Schizosaccharomyces pombe: one gene and its partners. The protein of the gene in region 3 interacts with the protein of the main gene of each other region in a pairwise test. Each region holds a gene or a part of one and is shown on either strand. Other genes may lie near its edges.

Region 1 (4,721 bases), 3.6 Mb from region 3:
CACTCTCACTAGCAAGCATGTAATCCTTTCCTTCGGGGGTATCACGTTCACCGATCACTAAAGGACGAATGCCATTGGGATCACGGAATCCCAAAACACCCAAGCCTGCGATCATAGCAACACATGCATAACCACCATTAACGCGATCGTATACATTACGCAAAGCTTCGAAAATATCATTTTCGTTTATACGAAATTTATCCAACCGTTGAAGCTCGTAAGCAAAGATGTTAAGCAAAAGCTCAGAATCAGATCCAGTGTTTACATGACGATGGGCCTCAGTGTCCAAAAAGCGTCGTAATTCGGGTCCATTAATTAAATTACCATTATGGCCCAACACAAGACCATAAGGAGAGTTAACATAAAAGGGTTGTGCTTCAGAGTGAGCACAACTTCCAGCAGTAGGATAGCGCAAATGACCAATACCCATACTACCTACGAGTTGGCGAAGTTGATGCTGACTAAAAACATCGGCAACCATGCCGGATCCCTTGCATTGGTAAAGACGACCTTTGTTTCCAGCGGTTACAATACCGGCGGCATCTTGACCCCGATGCTGCAAACTGTAAAGACCCTCATAAATTTCAGGACATGCCTGTTGATGAGGGTCAGCAAGCATTAACGCCAAAATTCCGCACATTTTCTAAAACTTGTTAGAGCTTCGGTTGTGAATTGAATACAAAAGATAATAAAATGATAGGTTTAAATGTACAAAAGAAAAAACAGCACCCAGTCAAATTGCTATAACTTGATTAAAATAATATGAGTCGGACTGTTCTATTCGGACAGCAATCAAAGTTTGAGAATACTTGGAATATAATTTCAATTTTTTTGTACCGACCGTAAAATGAGTTGTATGTTACCATCACAGAAAATAAAAAATTTTAATCAATTAAGCAGACCTCAGAAAACCTTGTAGCTACATAAGATGAAATTCAGAAGTCTAGCATCTAAATAAACGGTAATCATCATAGGCAAGTACTGCGGCGTTGGAAAATCAATATCTATATTAACTTACTTTTTAAAACGCGTACGAAACAAAAAAAAAAAGATTTTCAGGTACGCGCTGAACAAACACCGTAGTTGGGTATATTGTTAAGGCAAAATTTTGCTGCCGTATAAATTAATTTATTGTCCGCCTTAAATGATAGTGAAGTATGAGTCGAAACTATGACTGCTCAAGATTGTGATGAACGATTCGCTAAATAGAAGCTTAAAGAGAGGTGGGATATGCGCACGTTAATATAGGTAACAGGTATAGCTTGCTACTTAGCTGACAGGGTAGATGATATTAAATTGTTTGCTATTTTTGTTGCCAAAAAAAATTTTTTAAGCTTAAAAATATATCTTTAAATAAAACCTTCTTATATCAAAAAAAATTCGATGAAGTTAAGAGTGGTGCAGTGTTACAGTAATGCCGCATACACATCAACTTATTATTGAGCTTTACCGGAGGTATCCCATTACTATTTATTTGTTATAAAATCTTTCAATGTTCTGGTTTTTCTTCCTTCTTTACTCGGTAGTTAACAACAATACATTAATCACCGAGATGAGAGCTATGGGTAATCTAATCCAAAACTTTTAGTTCAACTTGTTACGATTGCAGTAGTCCAATGGTTTTTAAACTTAAAAAACTAATGAAAACAATACACAATGTACTGTATCTCTAATCTTCTGATTCCTCAAAATAATAGTTTACTAACCGGCTTCAAATATTTGTTCCTTAATTGGTGTACAGAGGATCATTTTCTGAGCGCTTGATTGATATTTTTTACTATCGGATTGATTATAAACCAGGATCGCGAAAACGTACCGATTTATAAATCGTTGATTATTAAAACATCTTTTTTAATATTGCACATTAAACAAAATTACAAGTGCAAAGCAATAATTAGTTTTCAAGCAGCTCCACATTTTGAGTTGGTAAATCATTTTAAAAAAAAATCATCAATAGTTCATATTTCATGAATACATTTTTCTAAACACAAATATAAATTCAGCACATTTTTATTTCAGATAGTGATGTGTAACGTGTAAACTTTTGGCTCGTTAGTAGGGATCTAGGAAAGTAAGGTTTTCCATCTTCATCAAATATTGGCGTACTGCAAAAAAACCCAATAATTCGTCTTCTATCAGGTTATAAAAGATTTTGGCTTCAAAGCATCCTTTTAGGTAAAAACCTTTTGTAAAAGCATCCAACGCCTTGAAGAACAACATCTCACAATGTCGTTGTATGAGCATGCTGCACTTCCTTTAGCCAGTAGCCCTTCAATCCTTGGACCTATTTCTGGTGGACGAAATCGGGGGAATATTCAATTACAGTCTATTCCGATTGAATTTCAAGCTGTTGTTTTTGCAGGATTTGGCAATAGGTAAAACAAACAAGTGTAGTACTGACTACTTAACGATTTGGATAATGATGACTTCGCACATATTATCTTCATCAACACTTAAAAAAGATAAAATAACAATAAGAAAATACTAACCATGTTTTAGTTTATATCCTTTGACTGGAAGCGATGCACTTCCCAAGGCTTTATTACCTATCGGCAATAAACCGATGCTTCACTACCCATTATATTGGCTTGAAGCTGCTGGATTTACTTCTGCTATTCTTATTTGCATGGAAGAAGCGGAAGCCCATATCAATGCTTGGTTACGATCTGGCTACGAGGGACATATGCGTATTCACGTGGAAGCACCGACTATTTTAGATGATTCTAAAAGCTCTGCCGATGCTCTTCGTGCTGTATCCCATCTTATAAAGGTATGATTTATTTTTATGTATAAGTAGATATGCATGTGTTCTTAGACTTTTTGATCTTTTCTCTCTCATTCTGCAATTTAATTACTCGTCTTAAAGTCACAAAAAATGCTAACCGATACCCACCAGAATGACTTTGTGTGTCTCAGTTGTGATAGTATAGTTGGTCTCCCTCCCATATACGGTTTGGATAAGTTTCGCCTTGATAACCCTTCAGCACTGGCTGTATATAGTCCAGTGTTAAAATATGAGCATATTACAAGTCAATCTAAAGAGATTGATGCAAAACAACTGATTGGAATTGAAGAGAAGACGAGCAGACTATTGTATGCCAAAAGTTCCGCAGACGTGGGCAGTGATTTTACATTTAGAATGTCTTTGTTGTGGAAACACCCAAGGGTTACGTTAAATACAAACCTTTCGGATGCCCATATATTTGTATTTAAACACTGGGTTATTGATTTGATCCGGGAGAAAGAATCTATTTCTAGCATTCGTGGAGATCTCATCCCGTATCTTGTTAAATGTCAATATCAGAAATCCTTTACTGTACGAGAGAACATTCAAAGATGTAAGTGCTTTTTTTAATTAACTATTTTCTAACAATTAAAGTTTTGTCATCTCCTAACAATATTGATAATTATGATGGGGGATTATCCTCACAGGAAATTAAAATTAATGCTTTAATTGCCAAAGATGGGATTATTTGTTCTAGGGCTAATAATTTACCTAACTATTTCGAACTTAATAAATGCGTATGTTTTCGAAAGCTGAGCTTCATCTCGCTTTTTAGCAGTTTCATCCAATATCTCTAACAGCAAACTAGATCGCCAAACTTACTCCAGAACAACGCCTTGTAGATGTCACCGTGTCCGAAAGAGCACTGGTCGGTGCCGATTGTATGGTGAATGAAGGTACCACCATTAAGGATAACAGCAACATTAAAAAGAGCATTATCGGTAAAAATTGTGTAATTGGAAAAGGGGTAGTGGTCAGCAACTCTATTTTGATGGACAACATTGTTGTTGAAGACGGAGTACGTTTAGAATCTTGCATAGTCGCCTCAGGTGCTCAAATAGGCGCTAAGTCAAAACTTCGTGAATGCGAAATTGGCGTTGATCATCGCGTTGAAGCTGGCCGTATCGCTCGGGGTGAGCGGCTGGTTGATATGGAAAAAATTGAGACGGACATGGACTAATACTGTGTATCAAACCGTTGTCAGCCAACCTTTTTTTTGAAATAGATATAATAAAAATTTCGTGCACTTACTCTACAAAGTGTGTCTAAACTAATCAAGGTAAAGGTGATATTAGTCAGGAATTTTTAGATTAAAAATATATACTCATAGATCAATATTAGCTAAAAGCGAAGGGGAATAAATTACAGATGAAAACGCATGTACATATATATGCAAAAAAGTTATACATATATACAAGGTTATACACATATACATCTAAAAAAGTTCATATCGCTATGGGTTAGTAATAACTCGAAAATATTTAAAACAAATAAAATAACCAAAAACTTTAGCACTCAGCGATCTTGGTGATAATAAAAGAATCATTTATTGATCATAAGCAAATATTTCATCAATTGCAAAGCAGAACGGTTATTTGTTTTGAAAATTAAATTGCCTTACCTAACGTTCATAAAAAACAGGACGTTCTTTAACTCCATTATTATAATATTTAAAACTTAAAACAGTTAGCAAGGTATTCGTATTAACAAAAGCAGTTGATGTAATGGAAATCAATCAGAAGATTATTTGTCGCATACTGATGGAGCCCATATGGGAATCAGGCAAGATCCCGAGCAATACCATCGCTCAATCGCAAATTATAGTCATCATACAAAAATATCCAAATAACATATTAATTTTACTTACCTAAAACTGGGTGTTATTAGAAACAGCTACATTACATATCTCACACTGGTAAGTGAAAACGCCAAGTTG
Region 2 (8,030 bases), 1.5 Mb from region 3:
GTTGGTTTTAATGGTAAGGTGGGGCGATTTTTGTGTAATAGGTATATTTGATGAGAAAGAGAATCCATGGTCAAATCTCCGTTCTCGTTTACCACGCCATTACTCACCAATTTCTCAAGCGGCGACTGGTGAAGATAGGTTACATGGTGCGATTGACTGCTGAAATAATGCCTTTGGATGTATTTAATAGCTTCAAAACAAACTTGATTGTTTAAAATACTATTTCTTTTTGAAAAAGTATTCTTTAGAGGACTCCAAATAAAGCCTACCAAAGAGTTTTGCCTTGTTAAAAATCGTTGATGACCTTTCCAGCGGAGCTTTAGCTTCATAATTTGGGATTTCTTGTCCAACTCTGCGAATTCCGCTTTTCACCAGGCGTTGGAATGTAGAACTTCTAGCAATCTAAAATTGATTAGTACGTATATCTATTAAGATGAAGTCGTTTTATACCCTTGATGCGACGTAGGTGGAAAGTAACTCTACTATAATTCGTTGAATCATACAAAGTCAATAATAATTTAAAGGTAGAAGAATAATTATGAGTACGTTTTATCAATAGTGATTCTTTAAATATCGGGCAATTGTTAAACGCCTGCACAAAAGACGCGATATGTGCTCAGGTTATGTTAACCGTTAGCGCCCTCCATTGCGACGTGACTTTGCAAAGAAGGATTATGTAGAGTTTTATCTAAGCGAGAAAAAATTAATCAGAAATTAATGCTTAAAACAGTATTATAAATCAACGAAGGTGAAATATAAAAGTACTGCAATTTCTTTCTGTTTCTATAATTGCTTTATTCCTTATTAATTGCATACACCTCTACTCATATTGTTTTATTTCAAAATAGGTGAAACTTGGACTTTAGCATTCTGGTAGCTATAGCATGTATCCAAGTTCTCGCAAGCTGTTTGATTAAGTATCTAAGTAAAGTTACTATTGTAAGTTTAAAGCTAAAATGAGCGGTAACCAACGTAGTTATTCAGTTTCAACGAGCGCGTATTAAGGCATTTGAAATAATCCCATCGAAGCATATATTGCAATAATGAAATATTCTATAACTGGATGTTATCAGAAGTTTAAGCATAAAAAAATAATAAAATGACAAAAGATTTGTCAAATCTAAATAAAATCAAAATACTTTATTTGGAACTCTCGACAACTATTAACCCTCTTCTTCAGAAGCTAAAAAAAAGATATCTAAGTAGCATTCTCTCAATCGGAGGCCTAATGTCTTTTCATCACTCAAGTTTATTTATTCGTTTAACTACTTTGAATGAAATTTAATTTTATAATCCTTTAAAATCATAAGGATATCTTACAGGAGATAAAGTTGGGTAGAAATCATGGGATTTCCGATATTCGTACTCGCATTCCAAAACTCGCTGGTACTCTTTGTACATCATTGATCGTTCATATAGAAACTTCATCTTTCTATTCCAATTATCCATTGCTTTGAGGTAATTTTTAGATCCGGCGGCAAAACATTTCTCCATTTTTTCAGGCAAAGACTGGAAAAGAAGGCAGGTTTCCAGTAAAGAAGGAACACAATCTCGTAAAATATGAACCTTATCACGCAGTGGACGAGGAATGTCTTGTAATCCTTGAATGTCCATTGGACTCCACCGTGTTAATTGAGCCAGGTCACCGACAAAGGTCTTGGTTCCATCAGCAGCAGTATAATAAGCCTTTTTCTCAGCTCTTGTTAAAATGTACCCCCAACCATATTCAGTGTTTGTAATATTTTCTGGTAGAGGAGGGCAAGTAATCATGGCTGCATTAAAATTTAAAGAATGAATCCATTCGTTCATCGCTAATACGCTGGGCGCTTCAAAAAGATAGCACTCATTTCCTGGAATATTTAGATAAAAGACATTATTGCGATTAGAATTAATTGATGGAGGTAAATTGGGAGATGCCAAGCAAGATTGCAAGCCAAATTCTCTATGGATGGGGCTAACATTTGAGCAAGCATTTGGATCTAAATGATCTGACTTATAAAAGATTAGTTTTCCACTATCGACAATACAGTACTTTTTCTTCCAATAACCTGCTACCCATCTATTGTTTTTGCTTAAAACCATTTTCTTATATGAAATCATGCCTCGTCGGTGCCATGGTAACCTGTTATGAGTCTTTTCTTCTTGCATATGATGAGTGTAATTAAACACCGAAAAATGTGGTCTACCATCTATAACTGATGGTTCAGGAAGATCAATCTCCTTTCCTGCGTAAATTCCTCCATTCTCTTCATTCAAAACAAACGAAGATTCCTTAAAAGCATCACTTTCAAGACTCGTGCTGTTTTTGTTTCCAGAACTCTCCTGCTTTAGTAATTTTGAACTTTTCATTAATTCAGATATCAGAGATGATCGATTCCTTTTGGGAGTCAAATCACCTCTTACTTGGTTGTGCAACTGTGCTTGCACGGCATTTGGTACTGCAAATGGAGACTTCAGAAACGTATCATAATATTCTTTTAGCATGCATTCAAGTATGAAACCGATATCGCTTGGTAAATTGCTCCACGTTGAGAAAAGCAATTTGGCAAACGTTGATCGGTTCTTCTTATATTTGAGCCAATGCTTTTTGTCCTCCTTCGACAAAATACAAACTGAATCTGGAGATATGAGAGGACGAAGTTTCTCGAGAGCATATTTCACAAAAGTTTCCATCGGAACGACATAAGAATTGAGCTTTTTAGAATAGGTTGATTTATGTAAATCAATTAAAATCAATACTATTTTAACAATAATGTCTTCATTTAAAAACCCATAATTACTATTTTGCTTAAGCCAACAAGATGCGAAGACTTGCAAAATAGGAGAGTGTATGTAATCATCCGAGCCATAGTAAAGATCACAGCATAATTTTTGAAAGGAAGCGTAAACATTTAAACTTGAAAAGTCATAGTGTGATATGAATTTTACATACACATTTTCATATTCAGATCCCAAACTAGCAAACCAATCTGTAAAATTGTACGACAATAGCTGCTTCTCTAGCAAATTCCGTAAGCAATTGGATAAATTAATGGGGTCCTTAAACTCTGAATTGTGACATACCTCGAACAATTTCAGTTGAGAACGGTCGTGTAAATTCAAAATAGTTAAAAGTGATCGTGGAACTTTAATTCTTGGATTGTTTTTAAATTCCAAAGAATTGGGAGTTGCTATTTCTTCGGAATTGAGATCACTCTTGCTATCACTTATAAGCAAAAACTCTTCTTTAAACTTTGAAGCGCTCAGACCTTCGTTAGCAAACGTTTCATCTTCATAATCTTGTAGGAACGTTTCCTGAATATCCATAGTTTTGACATCTGGATTCACAAAAACTTTTTCGCCAACCTGCTGACTATTTATGCGTGAATTGCGTAAATTGCGCATCTTGCGAATTTCTTCAGCTGCGTTTTCATGGTGAACTGACTGAGACTTAATCTGACTTTGCAATTGTTGAATATAGCTACGTTCATCATGACTAAGATGCTCTCGGTCATCCAATAGTAATTTTGAAATTGAAACTAGACCTTCGGGGGTTTTGGGTGAAGAAAACCGATTTTCACGCAACATTATTTCGTTTGTAATACCAACCTCCGAAAGCACTGAATAATACGCAACCAACGATTGTTTTAAGCAAGAAATCTGCTTTAGTGGTATTCTTTGGAATCTTGAATAAACTAACGCAAATTGGTGTTCCGCGATGTCTAAAGGGTATTTCCTGAGCAAAAGTTTTGCTAATTTGCAAAAATATAGGCGGTCAGAAAGATTTTCAAGTAAATACATTTTGGGATCAGCATTAGCAAGCTCATTTTTAGTGTTAAGTTTCGATACCTGTATACGACTATTGATTTTGTGTTCAGTAGCGTTCAAAGTTCTTGGATGAGGGTTCAACTCTAAATTTTTTTCCATTTTTATGCTCGGGTGTACATTACCATTTCCAGCTAGACACGCTCTCTCAATTTTTGAAATAACTTTCTCTGATGGATTAACTACCTTAGATATGCTGGAATGGGATGTCGGTTCAACATTGTTTATCGATTGTGGCATGTAAATATTTCCTAGTTGTTTGGCTAGTTGTTTAACATGACCCTTGGGAGGAGCCTCAGATGTCGGTGCCTTTGTTGTAGGAGCCTTTGTTGTAGGAGACTCTGCTGCAGCCAATGCTTGTGGTTGTACTGAATTAGAATCTTGGTTCATTAGTAGCGCAGTCTTTTCCCTTATCACTTGCAAAAACTTCTGAGAAGTTGTCAGAACTGAATCACCGACTGACACTTTTGGTGGTACTTCCATTGAACCATTTTTAGCAGCAAATAGGTTTATAGCTTCCTTTATTCTGTTACATTTTCTGGTGGAAGCCCGATAATTAGGACCTAAATTAAAGGGATTCTCTTCTAAAGCATTTGTAGTATGCCCTTTAGATAAATTTGAAACATAGTCCCTTTTTCTATTTCTCTCCCTAGCTAGCTCGATCCTTGCTCTAACATTTTCCCCGGAATACTTCCCCTGAATCCTCCTCTTAGCAGATAAACTAATTTTTTTTGAAGGAAATATTTCCTGAGGAAAATTGGTAACGACTATCGGAGGCGGCGTTCTTTGGCGCTTTTTAGAAGATGGAAGTTCTTCTTCATAATCTTTCAAATCACGTTTTAATGAGTAAGAACCAGAGGAAGCTCGTACGCCGTTGCCGAACATGGATTGAGAAGGATGAGAGTTTACGGGTTCACTAAATATTCGTTTAGGCTGAAGGCTTAAATCAGAAAGTTCACCATTTGTTCGAGGACGCCGGGTTTTAATAAACGATTCTTTGTTGCTTAACTTGCTTTTAACGTTAAACATATGATTGTTTTCAGCCAAGATTTTCTCAGACTCCACAGAATTGGCATTGGAATTGAGAAAAGAGCGACGATGACTTATAAATTCCTGAATCTGCTTCAAGCGTGTCCTTCTCTGAGAAGATTTGTCTTCTCCAGAAATATTTTCCGTTTTGCTTTTAGCGCCTTCCGTATGCAAATTTTCTTGACAAATTATTCCCTTTGATTCCTCAAGTTTGCAAAAATCGGTTGTAACTTTAGACCGCTTCAACTTCGAAAGCAACGCTGAATGCTTTTGGCCGGAAGTATAGGTAGGCTTTGATTCTCTCACAGGACGACAAGTGATGCGACTATCATTGCACGATTCCAACTTTGCAATTTTTTCCGAAACACTTAAGCTTGTTGGGGAAGATCCTTCTGTTATTCTAAAATCCATTCTACCTTTTTCGTGGATAATTATACAATTGATTAAAAGAAATTAATAGTTATGTCGGAAGAACGCTTAAAAAATACAATATGAATATAGGAATTCTTTCAATCGGTTGATCGCGAAAGCAATTAGGATAATTATGTAAGTTTTGTAAGGACAATTATCAAAATTGTTTCCTTAAATATTTATACAAACCGTCAGTTTTGAGGGAGGTTGAGGGTAAAGGAAAAATAGGCAAAACAAATAGCTTATGTCTTAAAACACCTCATTGCATTAGACCTAGCGAACAAACTATTTGTTTACGTTTGTAAATGTCAACACACGTTGATTACATCGGGAACAACATAAACCAATAAAACGAATTTTAGGATCATTTAATAATTTCTTTGACAAAATCGAAACAATAACAACTTTAAGGGAAACCATATCCGATTATAGGAGCAACAATCTGACCTTCCCAATGCTGAAGAAAGCTAATCAGTTCTACAGCTGAAATTTATCTATAGATCGCAAAAAGAATCAAAGGGAAAATCGATATCGTTTCACAAAATGTTCCCAACTTTTTTGGACTTTTCATACGAAAGTAACTGATACGATAATAGAATGAGTTTTTATCTCATTTATGTAAAATGACTACCTTTGTTGAGTAAAATTGAGCAATTATAAATTAAGCATATTCATATTGATCCATAAAATAAAAATTTGTTGCTAACATAAAGTCAACAGCGAACCGAAGTTTGAACGTAACCACTTGGGATAAAATTTTTATTGGATCGAAATCATTTGCATGATAATGGAAATAGTTGCTATTACATTTGTTACTGTTAGCTGAGGTGTGGTGTGCTGTCGAAGCCCTTGTTTAAGACTCAATAAATTCTAGCCGGCAGCCATCTCTAATGGAGTCCAACGTGAACGATGAAATAGAAAAGGCATTTGCCAAAGATTCTGAGTTAGCAAAAGATATAATCAAACAATATGGTAAGGTTTGAGTACATGCTTTTTTCCTTAGTCTAATGAAATTAGGGAAAACAAAAAGTATACAGCCTCTAGTGCATCGAATTTGCAAGTACATCAATACATTGCAAAAGGAAAACGAATCAGGCCAAGTGAAGGAGGCTGGAAGTTTAAAACGAAAGGATCGTGTTCAACATGAGTTAGGTCAATTGGTCTATGGAGTACTTAATCTATCGTTTCAGGCACCTATGCGAAAAAAGCTAGACGTCTACATTTATGAAAATGGAATAGCAGTAACATTACCAGGCGAACCCAATTTAATTGAATTTTGGCTTCCCTGGAATGAAATTCGTTGTGCAATCCATGTCCCATGTCCAAGGAAAGCTAATGTTCAAAACAACTTTGTGATCATCCTTAAAAGTGAATCGTCGGCAGAAAATATTGTTTCAAGTGATAATGTAAAAGAACCTGTCTTTTTTACGGCACCGTATCCTTTGAAAAAGCTCAACCTCGTTGAAGGTTTACGATCCTTCACCCACTGCACGAACTCATGGGATATTTTTCGCGATTACTTTGAGTTTATTGGCACTAGTACTTTGTCTCCTTCTGTCGAAGAATTTGTTTGTCCAAACCCGCAAACGGGGGACAATGGCACGACATATGGGGTTGAAGCAAACTATAAAGCTAAAGATGGTATGCAAAGGATGAATTCTGTGTCAAAATTGCTAATCAAATAGGGCATTTATTTTTTCTGCGTACTGGCATACTATGGGGCTTCCGTAAACCTATACTTTTCATTGAACTAGCTAGCATCCAGCATTTTTCCTATAGTAATGTTTTGCAACGAACATTTACAGTTAATTTTGAAGCTGGTGGTACAATATATTCATTCGATATGGTTGATCAAAGTGTCTTTAGAGCAGTAAATGATTACGCGACAAAGCATGGACTAATGGACTCCAGTCTTGCTGAAGAAAAAGCTGCACCAGTCCCTAAAAATCCATCTGTTTCATATTTGAATGAGGCATCATCTCTTGAAAATGTTGATGATATGGATGATATTGATGTTAAAGAACCTTTATTCTCTGATAACGACGAGGATGTCGAAAACAGCGACAGCGAGGACGGTAGCGAATCTATCGGTTCAGAGGACGAAGAATAGAAAGTTGAATGTACATAAATTTTTTTCTGTTTTATTTATTACCAGTTTGTTTTAATTTAAGGATTTAAATAAATTTAAAGTCTTCTAGCAAAAGGTTATCTGTGAGCTATCCAAATTTGTTTTAGACTCAAGTTATACACAAAGTTGTCGCAGGATACATTTTTTGTTGATAGTTTAAAAAGTGTGGATCTGGACTTTGTGTGCTAATCAATAGATTTACGCTCCCACTTGTTTGAGTTTTCTCAAAAATTACCCGACCAACATGTAAATATTTTCTATAATACTAATTTATGAAAATTCCTAATTACCTTATTCGATCTGCCGCTCTTAAAAAAGGTATATAATGTAAATAGCGGTTATTTAAAGTTCCTGATGTTCATTTTAACAGAAGGGTAGCTGAGTTTAAGCAAGAATTACCTGAACTGCCCATAATTTAATTCACAATTAGCATAAATCTTTAAAAACTCTTTCACGAGATTTTTTAATTATTTTTTTCAAAAAAAAAGACGACTATAAGTAACTAATTGTTTAATTTTTTACATTAGTTTTTTTCTTTGTCAATAAATTACTAAAATCTTTTTCTGAATGTAAGAAATTAAATAATTTAACAATATATCAACTCATCGACTGTTATTGAAGGATCTTCTTCTTAAAAAGAAAGAAAATTAATTTAAGA
Region 3 (5,573 bases):
GCTCTAATATATCAACTGAATCTGAATTAGCCATTAACGAATTTATAGGTACACAAAATATTTGTTTGCTTTGTAAGAAAACTTTTTGTTTAACTTGTTGTACAACACAAAGGTTAGCGGCTTTTAGAAGCTTTTCAGAAAAGCAGGATTGAGTTGGAATAGTACGAAGTGAGATTCTTGAAGCGATCCCGACAGATGGCCCACGAGCGACAAGAAATGCCTCTGTACCTTCCTCGGATATAACAGATTCGTTGAATTCATCAAAATAATGAAGAGAAGGCGAAAGCTGTACACTATCATGTTCAGTATCAGATTTTATCGAAGCAATTCCATAGACATTTTTTCCATCTGACAAGCGAAGGCTTATTGGGCAACCATTTTTTTTACCAACATTGAATAATAATTCAAAAGGAACATGAATTAAAGAGCAGTTTTGTAAGCACCATTGTATTTCAGTATGTACTTTTGATGGACGAATGACCAACTCAGCATCTGTTTCGGTTTTTCCTCGTTTAAATGATGAAATATTTTTTTCATTGGATGCTAAAAAAGTAAAACTATCTTTTCTTTCAATAACAAATTTCGTTTCTGAATCCACAACTCCATGTCGAACAGGTTGACAAACTTGTACCAAAATATTTTGGTTAATAAAATCGCTTTCCATTAAAATAGCATTTCTCCCTTTAATCCTTTCAATTATTGCATCCTGATCTTGTGAATTGTCATCTATAACAATCAACTGCACAAAATCCAGTTTGACAGGTGCAATTGTCGATATGTACAAGGCATCAGCCAGTAAGTTATCATAACCAGAAATTTCAACAGTACCATCCTCCAGATCTTCATTATTAATTGGTAAAAATATGCGACCAGCGATTGTAGGATTAGTGGTCATGTAAACATAAGCAGAGTGTTCCTCGAAACCTGGCAACGCTTTCTTGAGCCATAAATATGAAACCCATGCTTGCTTGCTTTCATCTAACTTTGGCAACGGCTTTGCAAGTGTGCAAATGCGATTTTCCATAAAGTAGTTTTCCGTCCTGCAGTATGAATATTTAAAATAAAACGTTGATACAGTTGAAGGCAGGAAATGCGACGATTTTTAAAATCGATCCCAAAAAATATGCACAAACATATAACTATTTATGAAAAAAGAGTATTTATATTTGTATCAATTAGATGCACAAATATTTACAACGAAATTATATTTTGTTGGTTGCAGGAATCTGACAACCTTGATGTCTGAGTACAGAAGATGAAGTTGTGCAAAATGATCGTTATTGAAAGTTAAACTTAACATTGAAGTTTCGTATCAAAAATTTAACATTTATTCAAGTAAAACTAAAAAAAACAAAATCCTGAAAGATATAAGCAAAAGAAAGTATTCCGTGAGATATACTAAGTGTCATTTACTGAGTTAAAATAATTCTCTAACGCCTAAAAGCAAAATATTATGAGTAAATTGAAATTAATCCATTCGTCAAGCCAACACTCTTAAAAGCAAAAAGAATTGTTAAATGGTAATTTTGATAGTTGGTGACTACATCAGAGTTCGTAAACGCAAGGACCCATTTTGGTCAAATAATACTATTTTTTTTTTGAAATAAATTGCGAGAACTTTTCCTTCTATTTGCTTCAAATAAAAAATCAATTGAATACAAGCTATTCTGCATCCGATCATAAAAGTCTAATTTATATCAGCAAATTCATTCGTTGTACTCTGTTTCATTGTATATTTATGTTCTTATTCAATCATAATTGCAAATTATTTAATGCCCATCAATATTTTTACAATAAAGATTTTGAACCCAACGTAAATAGTCTTAAAAAAAGCGATGGTGCTTTAATAATAAGACCATTCATAAACATATGGACGGTTAATCTCGCTAACCTTAATGTACTTAAAGTTAAAGCTAGACGATAAACACCATCCATGCTTCGCTACCGCCCATCTCACTTCAAAATCGCCTTGTTCTTGTAACACATCCCGTTTTGGTGTGCTCCCTAATGAGGTGATACTGTCATCCTTTTACTTGGGTCGTGTAACTACGATTTTATGTATTGATTCGTAAATGGACCAAAGTTCATCTCCTTCGCAGCCAGAGTCTCAGGCTCAACCGAATCTATGTATTCCCTGCAGCTTGGGAACTTGCTTGATCCATTTCCATGAGTTTTCTTCCTCAAGCTTTATGGATCCTGTTTCTTTGTTTTGTTCAAGTCCTTATCCTAACTTGCCACCGCACTCTCGTTCTTCTAGCCTTGAATCGAAAAAGCCTTCGGTTGCCTCGCAAGATGTAAAGTCTGATGGTACTTTGCCTATTGGTACTAATAACAATCCTTTAATTCCTTCACATAGTCAGGAAAGTAGTCACTGGACAATTCGACATGAATCAATGCCTTCCGCATTGGCTGGTAGCTCAGCACAATCCATGCAGCAGTTTCCCTCTATAACTCAGAATGAGGAAAATTTTAGATTTAAAAAGTCTTTCACACAACCACAACCCATTGTTAAAGAAACCACTTTTCCAAAATCCGAACCTGGACAGGAGCATGCAAAGTTATCCGACCTTTCATATGAGGAGTTTTTAAAGAAATACTCATCTACCAAGGTTGAGAGAGTTTCCGAAGCTGCCCCACCTCCCTCAAGTCTAAACAGCTCAACTGTGTTGGATGAGAATGATTCTCTAATTAGTCAAGGTTCATCAGTTGATGACCAAACGGATTTTCTTGGTTTTGACGATTCTTTGTCATATGCTTATATTTTGAACCCAACATCTGATTCTGACGTCGATTTGATAAGGCAGTACTTTATACCTAAAGAGGGAACCTATACATTTAGTAATATGCACATTCGTTATGTTTCTGCAAACCCAAAAACTCCAGTTATGTACATGGTTGATCCAGCTTATGAGCCGCACAAACAAATTGCTCGTTATGAAAAACTTCAGCAAATATTTCAAGTGGTTGAAGCCACAGTATCCCCAGAAGTCGGCGAACGATTGATTGGCCTTTACTTCCGGTACATTCATCGCGTATACCCTGTTATTCATGGCGAAAGATTTCTCCTCGCCTTCAAAAAGGCAAAACACAAACTGTCCCCTATCCTTTTAACTGCGATGTATGCTTCCTCAATTATTTATTGGGATGCGGATAAAGAGTTAAGAAATTATCCTCGCTTGGATGCAAAAAAATTATGGGATCTTACTGAGGATTTCTTGGATCTTTCCTTTTCTCTCTCTCGATTAAGTACGCTACAAGCGGCGATTATTTTTTTAACGGGAAGACCATGGATTAACGTAGCTGGAAACTGGAGCATTTTGACTAGAGCGATTGCTTTAGCGCAAATTCTCGGGTTCCATTTGGATTGCTCTGAATGGCAGATTCCAAAGGAAGAAAAAATCTTGCGTAATCGAGTGTGGTGGGCCCTTTTTGTTAACGAAAAATGGCTTTCGATGTATATTGGGATCAATGCAAGCATTCGTCAAGATGACTACTTAGTACCACCATTAACGGACAACCAGCTATTGGCTGGGGAGCAAAGGATTGCCGACTCATTCAATGTATTTGTTAAAATGGCGGAACTAAGTATTTTGCTTCAAAATGTATTACAACATCTTTTCAACGCTCGAGCGGTTATGACAATGTCGAAAAATCGGCGTACTGTGGCTCAAAAGATATCAAAATATCTGATTAGTCTGGAAGAATTTTCATGTAGCTGTAATTTAAGAGAGAACCAACCTGGATCTTTATCATTGTTTTTACAAATCGATGCCTTGGAGTTGTTATTACGGAAAACAGCATTGAAACTTAAACTGACAGATGCAGTATATCAGCAAGAAATGTTGAACGTGGTGCAACGTTGTGTTTCTCATTTTCTAGCCATTAACGAATCCCATTTTACTGATTTTTTCTGGCCGTATTCCCAATTCTATTTTTGTATCCTATCATCTGCAATCATTAAGATGTATCTGGACTTTGAGTTTAATGAAAATTTTAATGCTACGACTTTTGGCCTTTTGTCATCTTTCACAAAGCATTGTGTCTGGCTGAAGTTTCGAAATTTTGATTTGGTTTTCATGGCTTATAAGCGATTAAACGCGTTGCTGATTGAATTAAGCTCAGGTAGACCACTTATTGGCAAACTTCTACAAGAAACCTTTGAACATCGAAAGCGTAACTTGGACGAAACCCTGACATAATGATAGTGTTTAGACCTTTCTAATTCTTTTTTTTTTGTTTGGTTTTAAGAGTTGTTAATTGAATACTTATGAGCCTATACCTACCTAATTAAGGATATCTACACATTATTATTTTTTTAGTCAGCTCTAGTTGCTTATATTTTATAAAGTAGTTTAGGATCCTTGTTAATTTGATTAAAGGGCTTCATTAAAAACATCTGATAGAAAAGTTTAAGTGAGTTAGGAATATTCACGAAGGATGGAAAGATAATATTGAAGTGATAACATCCTATCGTTTTATAATGAGATATTGATTGCAACAATAAGGTTTATCAGATCTGAACATATATTTATTTATATTTTAAAGTTTACCAGGTGGAAGCAAAAAAGATCTCCTGAGCCAGAATCGAACTAGCGACCAACCGGTATCATCGAAATTACAGCCGGGTGTGATAACCAACTACACCATCAGGAGTTAGTTGAGAAGTGGTGTCTAATAGAATATATATAATATATGAAAAATTAAATATCTTGTATCTTAAATTAGCCGGAGTAGATTCAAATAATGATGATAATTAGATCCGTACAAGTTTATTAAAAAGATGAATGAAAGTAATAGTAGGCTTGAATTCCATTTTTTAAGAACAAATATGAAAACTCTTGATGTGGATACTAGAAGTCTAAGCAATACAGGTATATAACAATAATCCATATTCTTAAAATGATCATCAGAAAACGCTTATTCTTACATATTTTTACTTCATTACAATTATTTACCAGTTTTTTTCATCTTTTCATACTCTATAGTTTCTTATCAAATATTCCGTATAAATTATTAGAGTTGACTTGTACCAAGATCATCTGTTCAATTGCTTTGTGCATATATTTTACTTATGTTGTTTATTTTTCTTTCAGAGGAAGAAGCCTTTTGGCTGTGTCGAATGCGTAGATATGTTATACAAACGGTTATAATCCGGGATATGAGAACTAAATGTTTGGTCACTATAGGACAGTTTTTCGTTATAAAAGAAATAAATTTAAGTGCTTAAAGTACTAATTTTATTAATTCATTGCTTTATTTAGGTCATATTGCAATCATTGATAAACTCAAAGCAAAGGTTAACATAGGTTCTCAAAATTTTGAAAACCCACTGTTAAATTCATCAATTGCAATACCATTTGGAGAAGTAATGATTAAACAGTTTCTTAGTATATGCTTTGTTTATTCGTAACTGACGAACATTTCCGTCCCCCACGCCCCCCACTTATATATAGAGATCCATTCAGCGGACCGAAGAACTAACATACTTACCAAATACATAATACACTATAGTCACGAGAATGTCAACTGAAGGAGCTAAGCCATGTAAGAGCGCTGCTTGATTTATTGGCTGT
Region 4 (6,112 bases), 2.8 Mb from region 3:
AATTCTAGCATTTCTTCAGTCAGAAAAATATATCGAAGACTCTAAGTTTACCCTTTAAATGTGTCACTTGTGGTTTTCTTATACGGAAAAGATACAGAACAATCCACGGCTAAAGGAGATCCTCATCCAACAACCCGAGAAAGTCTATCATTTGGATGAACGGATACTCATCCAAAACTTTCAAGAATTGTGTTTTTTTTGCTTCTATCTTCAATGCCCTGTATCGAACTGAATTGCGATTGTCATTAATTTGCCTTGCTATGCCATACCAAGCCAAGCTATTTTAAGCAAACGGTTTAGTTGGACTCCAATAATAAATGCTTTACAAAAAAGAAATGCGATTGATAAACTAGAACACTCTCCAATGTATGTCTACCAATTCCTAAATACTTTCAATTCGCAACATTCTTATGGCCTTTGTGGTCGCTTCAATTCGGCTTTGAAAACCGGGTTAAAAGGCATCGCATAAATTTGTATCTTCCAAAACAGTTGATTTTATAAAAAGCTCATAAATAATTTCTCAGCGCGAGCAAATGGTAATTTCTTTGAAATCAGCGCCTTTGGAATTTTCATTTTACGCCTTATTGACATTCCCATCGATATACGTAACATGTTACTCCATGATACATGGTTTCAGCTGATGCCAAGGCATCGTTGCGTAAGCATTACGAAGGAATATGATGATGGAAGGAGGCATGGGTTGGGCAGTTTCTGCAGTCTGCTAAATTTAAATAGTCTGCCTATATATATTAAATCTCTCGCACTTTTATGACCTTCCCTCTCCCATACATATTTGCAAGTTTGCGTATAACGTTGCTTTCTAACACAATTTACTTTTAATCCACTTCAAACACTTGGTTTAGCTTTTAAAGAAAAGCTTAGGATTTTGCTACTGTTTGTTACGAGGAATTGTTGCAGAAGAATTCAATTTTTTTAAGTCGTATTTACCAACGATTTTATTCAATTTAAAAAGTTTGACTTTCATAGGCTGTTGCTTAGTTTATCGTCAATTCCTTGCGTATTGCCGGAACCTAGTTAATATCTAAAAAAACACAAACAAACCAAATTCCAAAAGTGGTTGAAAATTGCCGCTTCGCTACTTTTACTATCTCCGGGAAAGAAGACCTGTAATTTAATTTTTTCTTCTTCTTCCAATTCGTACTATTAATATTACCGCTAGTTTCTTCTTATTCTTTCGCCTACTACTTAATTGTTCAATATGCAAATTACTCGTGAGTCAAAATACATTATTGGGCTCGTCTTAGCCTTGGGTGTAAGCTTTGCTACCCTTTTGGCTCATTTGTTTACCAAACCATCTCTTGAATGGGTTTACAATCACCATGCCACTCCATTTTTCGCCAACAAGTTCATGCTTGGTGGCTACCTCTTGGTCGAATACTTGTCTTTCCTTTTGATGATTGTGCCCCTTTTAATGCTTGGTGATCAGGTAAACGATTTTACCTTCTCCATTATTCACACATCTATCTGGTACAATGTATTTGTCGTGTTTACCGTCTGGGCATTTACCCGTGAGAAGCTGTACTGGACTGCATTCTTTTCCTTGTGTCTATTCTCATCTTCTTTCACCATGTACGGCCAATCGCTTCGCTTGAGAAATGGTTTTGTTGAGATGATTAGCATGAAGTTGCCCTCGAAACTTGTTTTTGGCAAGTCTCTTTGGTTCGTTGTTTATGCCTTCTCTGCCGCTTTACACTGCACCGGCATTGGTTGCCGCGTCTTTTCTAATGTGTTTATCTGGTTCTTTGCCGCCATGTATCTTGTTCCTATTTTAGGATTCCATGACTGGGCTCTTTCCCTCGTCAGCGCATACCTTTTCCTTTCAATCGGTATTGGACAAATGTTTATTCACCTCTTTGCCTTGCAACACATTTTCGCCTTTATCATTGCTGGTCTCATGACCCTTTTCGCTGCTCTTCTCTTCCTCCTTCCCTACAGACAGAGACGCGCTGCTTTAACAGGCGAGAGTGCTCCTTTGCTTCAGGACAACAACGCGGGACCCGCAGTTTAAACTCTTGTAGTCTTCTGCATGTTGTTGCTCCGTTCTACTAAATAGTATGATAATGAATTTGCTTAATTGTATTATGTTACACTTAACTTTAGTATAAAAATTTAATTTTTCTCCCATAAATCTTTCGACTCAAAATTCAGGTGGATAGCAGATTAAAGCATAGTTTTGACGATCAACTTCATCATGGTTAATAGCACCCTTCTTAGTATAAAGTTGCTTCGTGTGCTAACTTTACAAGCACTTCATTGACGAAGACATCCAGCTTATTCTTATATGGATCACGAAAGTGTCATCATATTCAACTATTCGTACTCTGGCTAACTTGTACGCTAATTATTTAATCTTATTTGCTTCATGTATTTATTAAAGAACCCTTAAAGCAAAAAACTTGGTATACACTACTTTTTCTTTACTTAGCTCAATATCTCAATTACTTTCTCATGCCGACGGTTACGCACCTCCATTCAACCTTGGCCTACTCCATATATCGAACCATCAAAATTCCTTCATCTTGGTATTCTTGAGGCGTTAAATACCTTCTTTAAACCTTTTCTTTTTACAATTCCTTCGTTTTTCTTGTTACTGTAAATATATATCAATTTATTTAAAGTTTGCGTTCAAAGTTCTATAAACGAATTTTACGTTCCAACTACTGCGTTTGACCTTTTTTTTCTCTTTATATATACAAATACCAAGTTATAAAAAAATTCATGTTTTCCGTACGTCTAAACTATGAGTTTTCATACTGACTGATATAGGCTAAAGCAAAAACCTATGAACTAAAACTAGAACAAACAAGATGTAATGGAGATTGGCAGGCAATTCCTGAGGTTGCTAGAAAATTGCATAAGCATAACTCTTCAAAGTCCTGTGAGTGATTTACAGTCAAAGTTTTCCACTTGTCATCTAGACTAACCTTTTTTTAGTCGTTTGTGAATTAGCAAAAATTGAAGCTTCTCTTAAATCAGCATTAACTGCTGAACTAAAAAATATTGCAAACGTTTTGGAGCCTAAATTAATAGATAATCAGTATTCCCTAATTCCGGCTTTACCCAGTGCTCGTACCGACCCTCTTCTAAGTCAATTAAACTCATTGAACATTCAAAATGCCACAGAAGATGAGAAGCTTCAGGAGACATCCATACGCTTGTTATTATACATTGTACAGCGTAAATTTCCCGAAGCCGTAGATTTAGATTGGTCTCCTCAAGGAATTCCGTGGACTGAAACTTCCACTGGTATATGCATCCTACAAGCAACAGTGCTATCATCGCTAGCTCAATATGCTCAAGCTAACGATGAAGTTGCATATCAATACGTTCGTTCGGCCATTGGCTTAATTCAAAATGCCAATATTGGCAAGAAGCCTTTACCGGAACTTACAAGATGGTGCGATCTTGCATATTCATTGTATGCTCAAATGTCTGTAAGCGCTTGTTCGAGTCAATTAGAAAGAGCTAATATACTTACTACATGCTTGAGCTATTTTACCGAGCATAAGTCCGTGAATTTGCTTTATAAACTAGTTACCAGCAGACAAGCTATTAAATATTTGGAACATATTTTAAGAACTAATACAAATGGATCAAAAATTTTTACTAAAAGTCCGGTTAAAAATCTTTATTTAAATTGGCCTCAACTTGTCCTCGATTATGGGTCTTTGTTATGTAACTTTACCTCTTTTCCTAAAGCTGGTGATCAAAACATGTTCGCCGTTGAATTTATTGAACTTGCAACATCAATATGGATAAACACAGAGAAATCTTACGATATCACTGTCAGCTTGATTCGAATGCTTTATCAGCTTACTGGAAAATGCTTCCAAGCACAACAAATTTTTCGTTCTTTGGTATTTTTTTTAAGGCATATTGAGGAATTTGAAGAAGCTAGCGAGGCTTTTGAAATTTACAAGTTTCTATGCGTAAAATCTCACGAACGGTTAGCAAGAAAAAATTCAGATGTCGCTGGCTCTTTTTCTGATATCAAACCAGTGTTTGTTGATGAACCGAAAAGTATTATTGAAGTATGCTCCGTTATGATGACCGTTTATGCGCAATATCTTCGTAATTTGAAAAAAGTTTCTGAAATACTTGATTATATTACAAAAATTGCTTCTGATTATGATTTACTGAAACGTGACGATATTGCTCCTTTAATTTATCATACAGAAGGAGTTGCTTATTCTTTCATGTATTATCAAGCTAACAACCCTTCGTTAAGGGAAAGATATCACCAGAAGAGCGTCCAATCTTACCAGAAATGTCTAGAAAAGCAACCAACCAATACAAATGCACTTTTCCATTTGGCTATGCAATATTCGGAGAGACGTGCCATTACTGATGCAATGCAAATTGTTCGGCGACTTCTTGAGGTGAACCCTAAGTACAGTATTGTATCTTGGCATCTTTTGGTTTTGTGTGTGTCTTGTTCTGAACAATACGCAGCAGGAATTAAGCTGATCGATAGTGTATTTGAAACTTGGGGCATTAATCATGTCAATGAAGATGGCACTATTGAGATTAGTTTGACAAATTTGACATTTAATGACCGCTGCGCTTTGGTCGATTTATTGATTACGAAACTAGCTCTTTTTGAAGCCGAAAAAGGCGTAGAAGCTACTCTGGATATCCAGGATGAAATATTTACATTATTTGCTAGTATTTTTGATTTGAATGAGTACAGGATATCAAAGGAAGGATCGTCAGATGAATTATCAACGCTTTTAGAACGATCGACTATTCAATCCATTAAATCATCCAAGAAAATCTCTAAAGATGTGGAAAATGAAAAAGGAAGTATTCTTGGGTTTTCCAGGAAATCATCGCTTAAGAGATCTACTGTTTTAAGCAAAAAATCCCACTCTTCCTATAAAGAAAATTTTCAGTTACGTCGTGGTAAAACCGTATCATATCTCAATCAGAAGCTTTGGCTTACCGCTGCATCTCTTTTCCTTAAAAGTGGAAATGATGATCAAGCACGAAGCGCTTTACTAGAAGCTAAAAAAATAGACCATGAATGTGCTTGGGTGTACTATTTAAATGGTTTATCTTTACTACAACAGGGAAAAGAAGTTGAAGGGTATGAGCAACTTGACGTTGCTCATTATTTAGACCCGGAGGATCCCTTAATTTCGACGGCCCTTGCAAAGTGTCTTTTACAAGGTGGCTATGGGCCTATGCATTCTCGTAGAAATAGAGCAGATGCTATTTTATCGAGCTGTACTTTGCAGTATGGCTGGGATCTACCAGAAGCTTGGTATTATACTGCAGAAATATTTCGTCAACTCGGTGATTTAAAACAAGCTGCGTTTTCGTATGATTATTGCATCCAGCTAGCTGATACAAACCCTGTACGCCGATGGAGTAACTTGCAGCCTAGGTTTATGAACGTTTAAACTGTCTACATTTTTTGGACTTTTATTATTTATAAATTGAATTTACAAACTTTAAGGCACTTTCAATAGTAATTTATATGTTTCCTTTGTAGTGATTGTAACTTCAATATGAACTCACATAATAGACATAAATAGATAAATGTTATTTATGACATTGTGTTAAATTAATAACGAAGCAATTGCACCTTGAATCAGTATCTATAACAGTCTTCTTTCCAAATCACCAACAAACAAATAGCATTAGATAATTGCACCGAAAATAACGATTCAAGGACATTTCAAAATTAGCGATTATTTGGTCTGTATTTGCAGCGTCAAAAAACTAAGAGCTTTCAGGAGTGTTGTCTATAACATCTTTGGAAGATTCAGTATAGGCAGAGGATCTTGAATAATATTGATCCAAAATCTTCTTAGGAATACGAGTTAACATCTCACGAGGGAAGATGCGAAGGAGGGACCAAGCCAAATCCAGTGTTTCAAAAATAGTACGATTCTCGTAAGCACCTTGACTAATGAAAGTCTTTTCAAATTTACCCAAAAATTCAAGAGCAAGGCGATCTTCTTGAGAAAGGGCTTCCTCGCCAACTACTGATTTCATGGAAGCAGCATCACGACCGATGGCATACATTGCATACAGCTGGTTAGAAACATCACCATGATCATTTCTAGTCATTCCTTCACCAATGGCA

Evidence for each region.
Region 1: the proteins of dal81 (region 3) and tif223 interact in a two-hybrid assay, tested with the Schizosaccharomyces pombe proteins (one large-scale study listed by BioGRID).
Region 2: the proteins of dal81 (region 3) and spo7 interact in a two-hybrid assay, tested with the Schizosaccharomyces pombe proteins (one large-scale study listed by BioGRID).
Region 4: the proteins of dal81 (region 3) and ypp1 interact in a two-hybrid assay, tested with the Schizosaccharomyces pombe proteins (one large-scale study listed by BioGRID).

Annotation. Positions count from the first base shown.
Region 1 is NC_003424.3:5,365,322-5,370,042, forward strand, and holds tif223 (translation initiation factor eIF2B gamma subunit tif223), read left to right. Parts: upstream 1-2,083; 5' UTR 2,084-2,226; coding exon 2,227-2,375; exon of another isoform or gene 2,376-2,444; intron 2,445-2,499; coding exon 2,500-2,770; exon of another isoform or gene 2,771-2,893; intron 2,894-2,896; coding exon 2,897-3,338; exon of another isoform or gene 3,339-3,379; coding exon 3,380-3,522; intron 3,523-3,593; coding exon 3,594-3,965; 3' UTR 3,966-4,057; downstream 4,058-4,721. Other genes in the region: amidophosphoribosyltransferase Ade4, read right to left, coding at 1-640. UniProt on the Schizosaccharomyces pombe protein: Acts as a component of the translation initiation factor 2B (eIF2B) complex, which catalyzes the exchange of GDP for GTP on the eukaryotic initiation factor 2 (eIF2) complex gamma subunit.
Region 2 is NC_003424.3:3,245,812-3,253,841, reverse strand, and holds spo7 (ArfGEF Spo7), read right to left. Parts: upstream 6,084-8,030; 5' UTR 5,245-6,083; coding exon 1,288-5,244; 3' UTR 961-1,287; downstream 1-960. Other genes in the region: pcd1 (coenzyme A diphosphatase), read right to left, coding at 1-329; histone H3.3 H4 heterotetramer chaperone Rtt106, read left to right, coding at 6,135-6,216, 6,262-6,885, 6,930-7,354. UniProt on the Schizosaccharomyces pombe protein: Appears to have a role in sporulation.
Region 3 is NC_003424.3:1,745,544-1,751,116, reverse strand, and holds dal81 (transcription factor), read left to right. Parts: upstream 1-1,951; 5' UTR 1,952-2,072; coding exon 2,073-4,199; 3' UTR 4,200-4,649; downstream 4,650-5,573. Other genes in the region: pex6 (peroxin-6), read right to left, coding at 1-1,024; ank1 (ankyrin repeat-containing protein), read left to right, coding at 5,520-5,544.
Region 4 is NC_003424.3:4,541,335-4,547,446, forward strand, and holds ypp1 (cargo transport protein Ypp1), read left to right. Parts: upstream 1-2,501; 5' UTR 2,502-2,739; coding exon 2,740-2,748; intron 2,749-2,787; coding exon 2,788-2,899; intron 2,900-2,955; coding exon 2,956-5,423; 3' UTR 5,424-5,612; downstream 5,613-6,112. Other genes in the region: SPOM_SPAC637.03 (uncharacterized protein), read left to right, coding at 1,220-2,029; vma2 (V-type ATPase V1 subunit B), read right to left, coding at 5,746-6,112. UniProt on the Schizosaccharomyces pombe protein: Involved in endocytosis.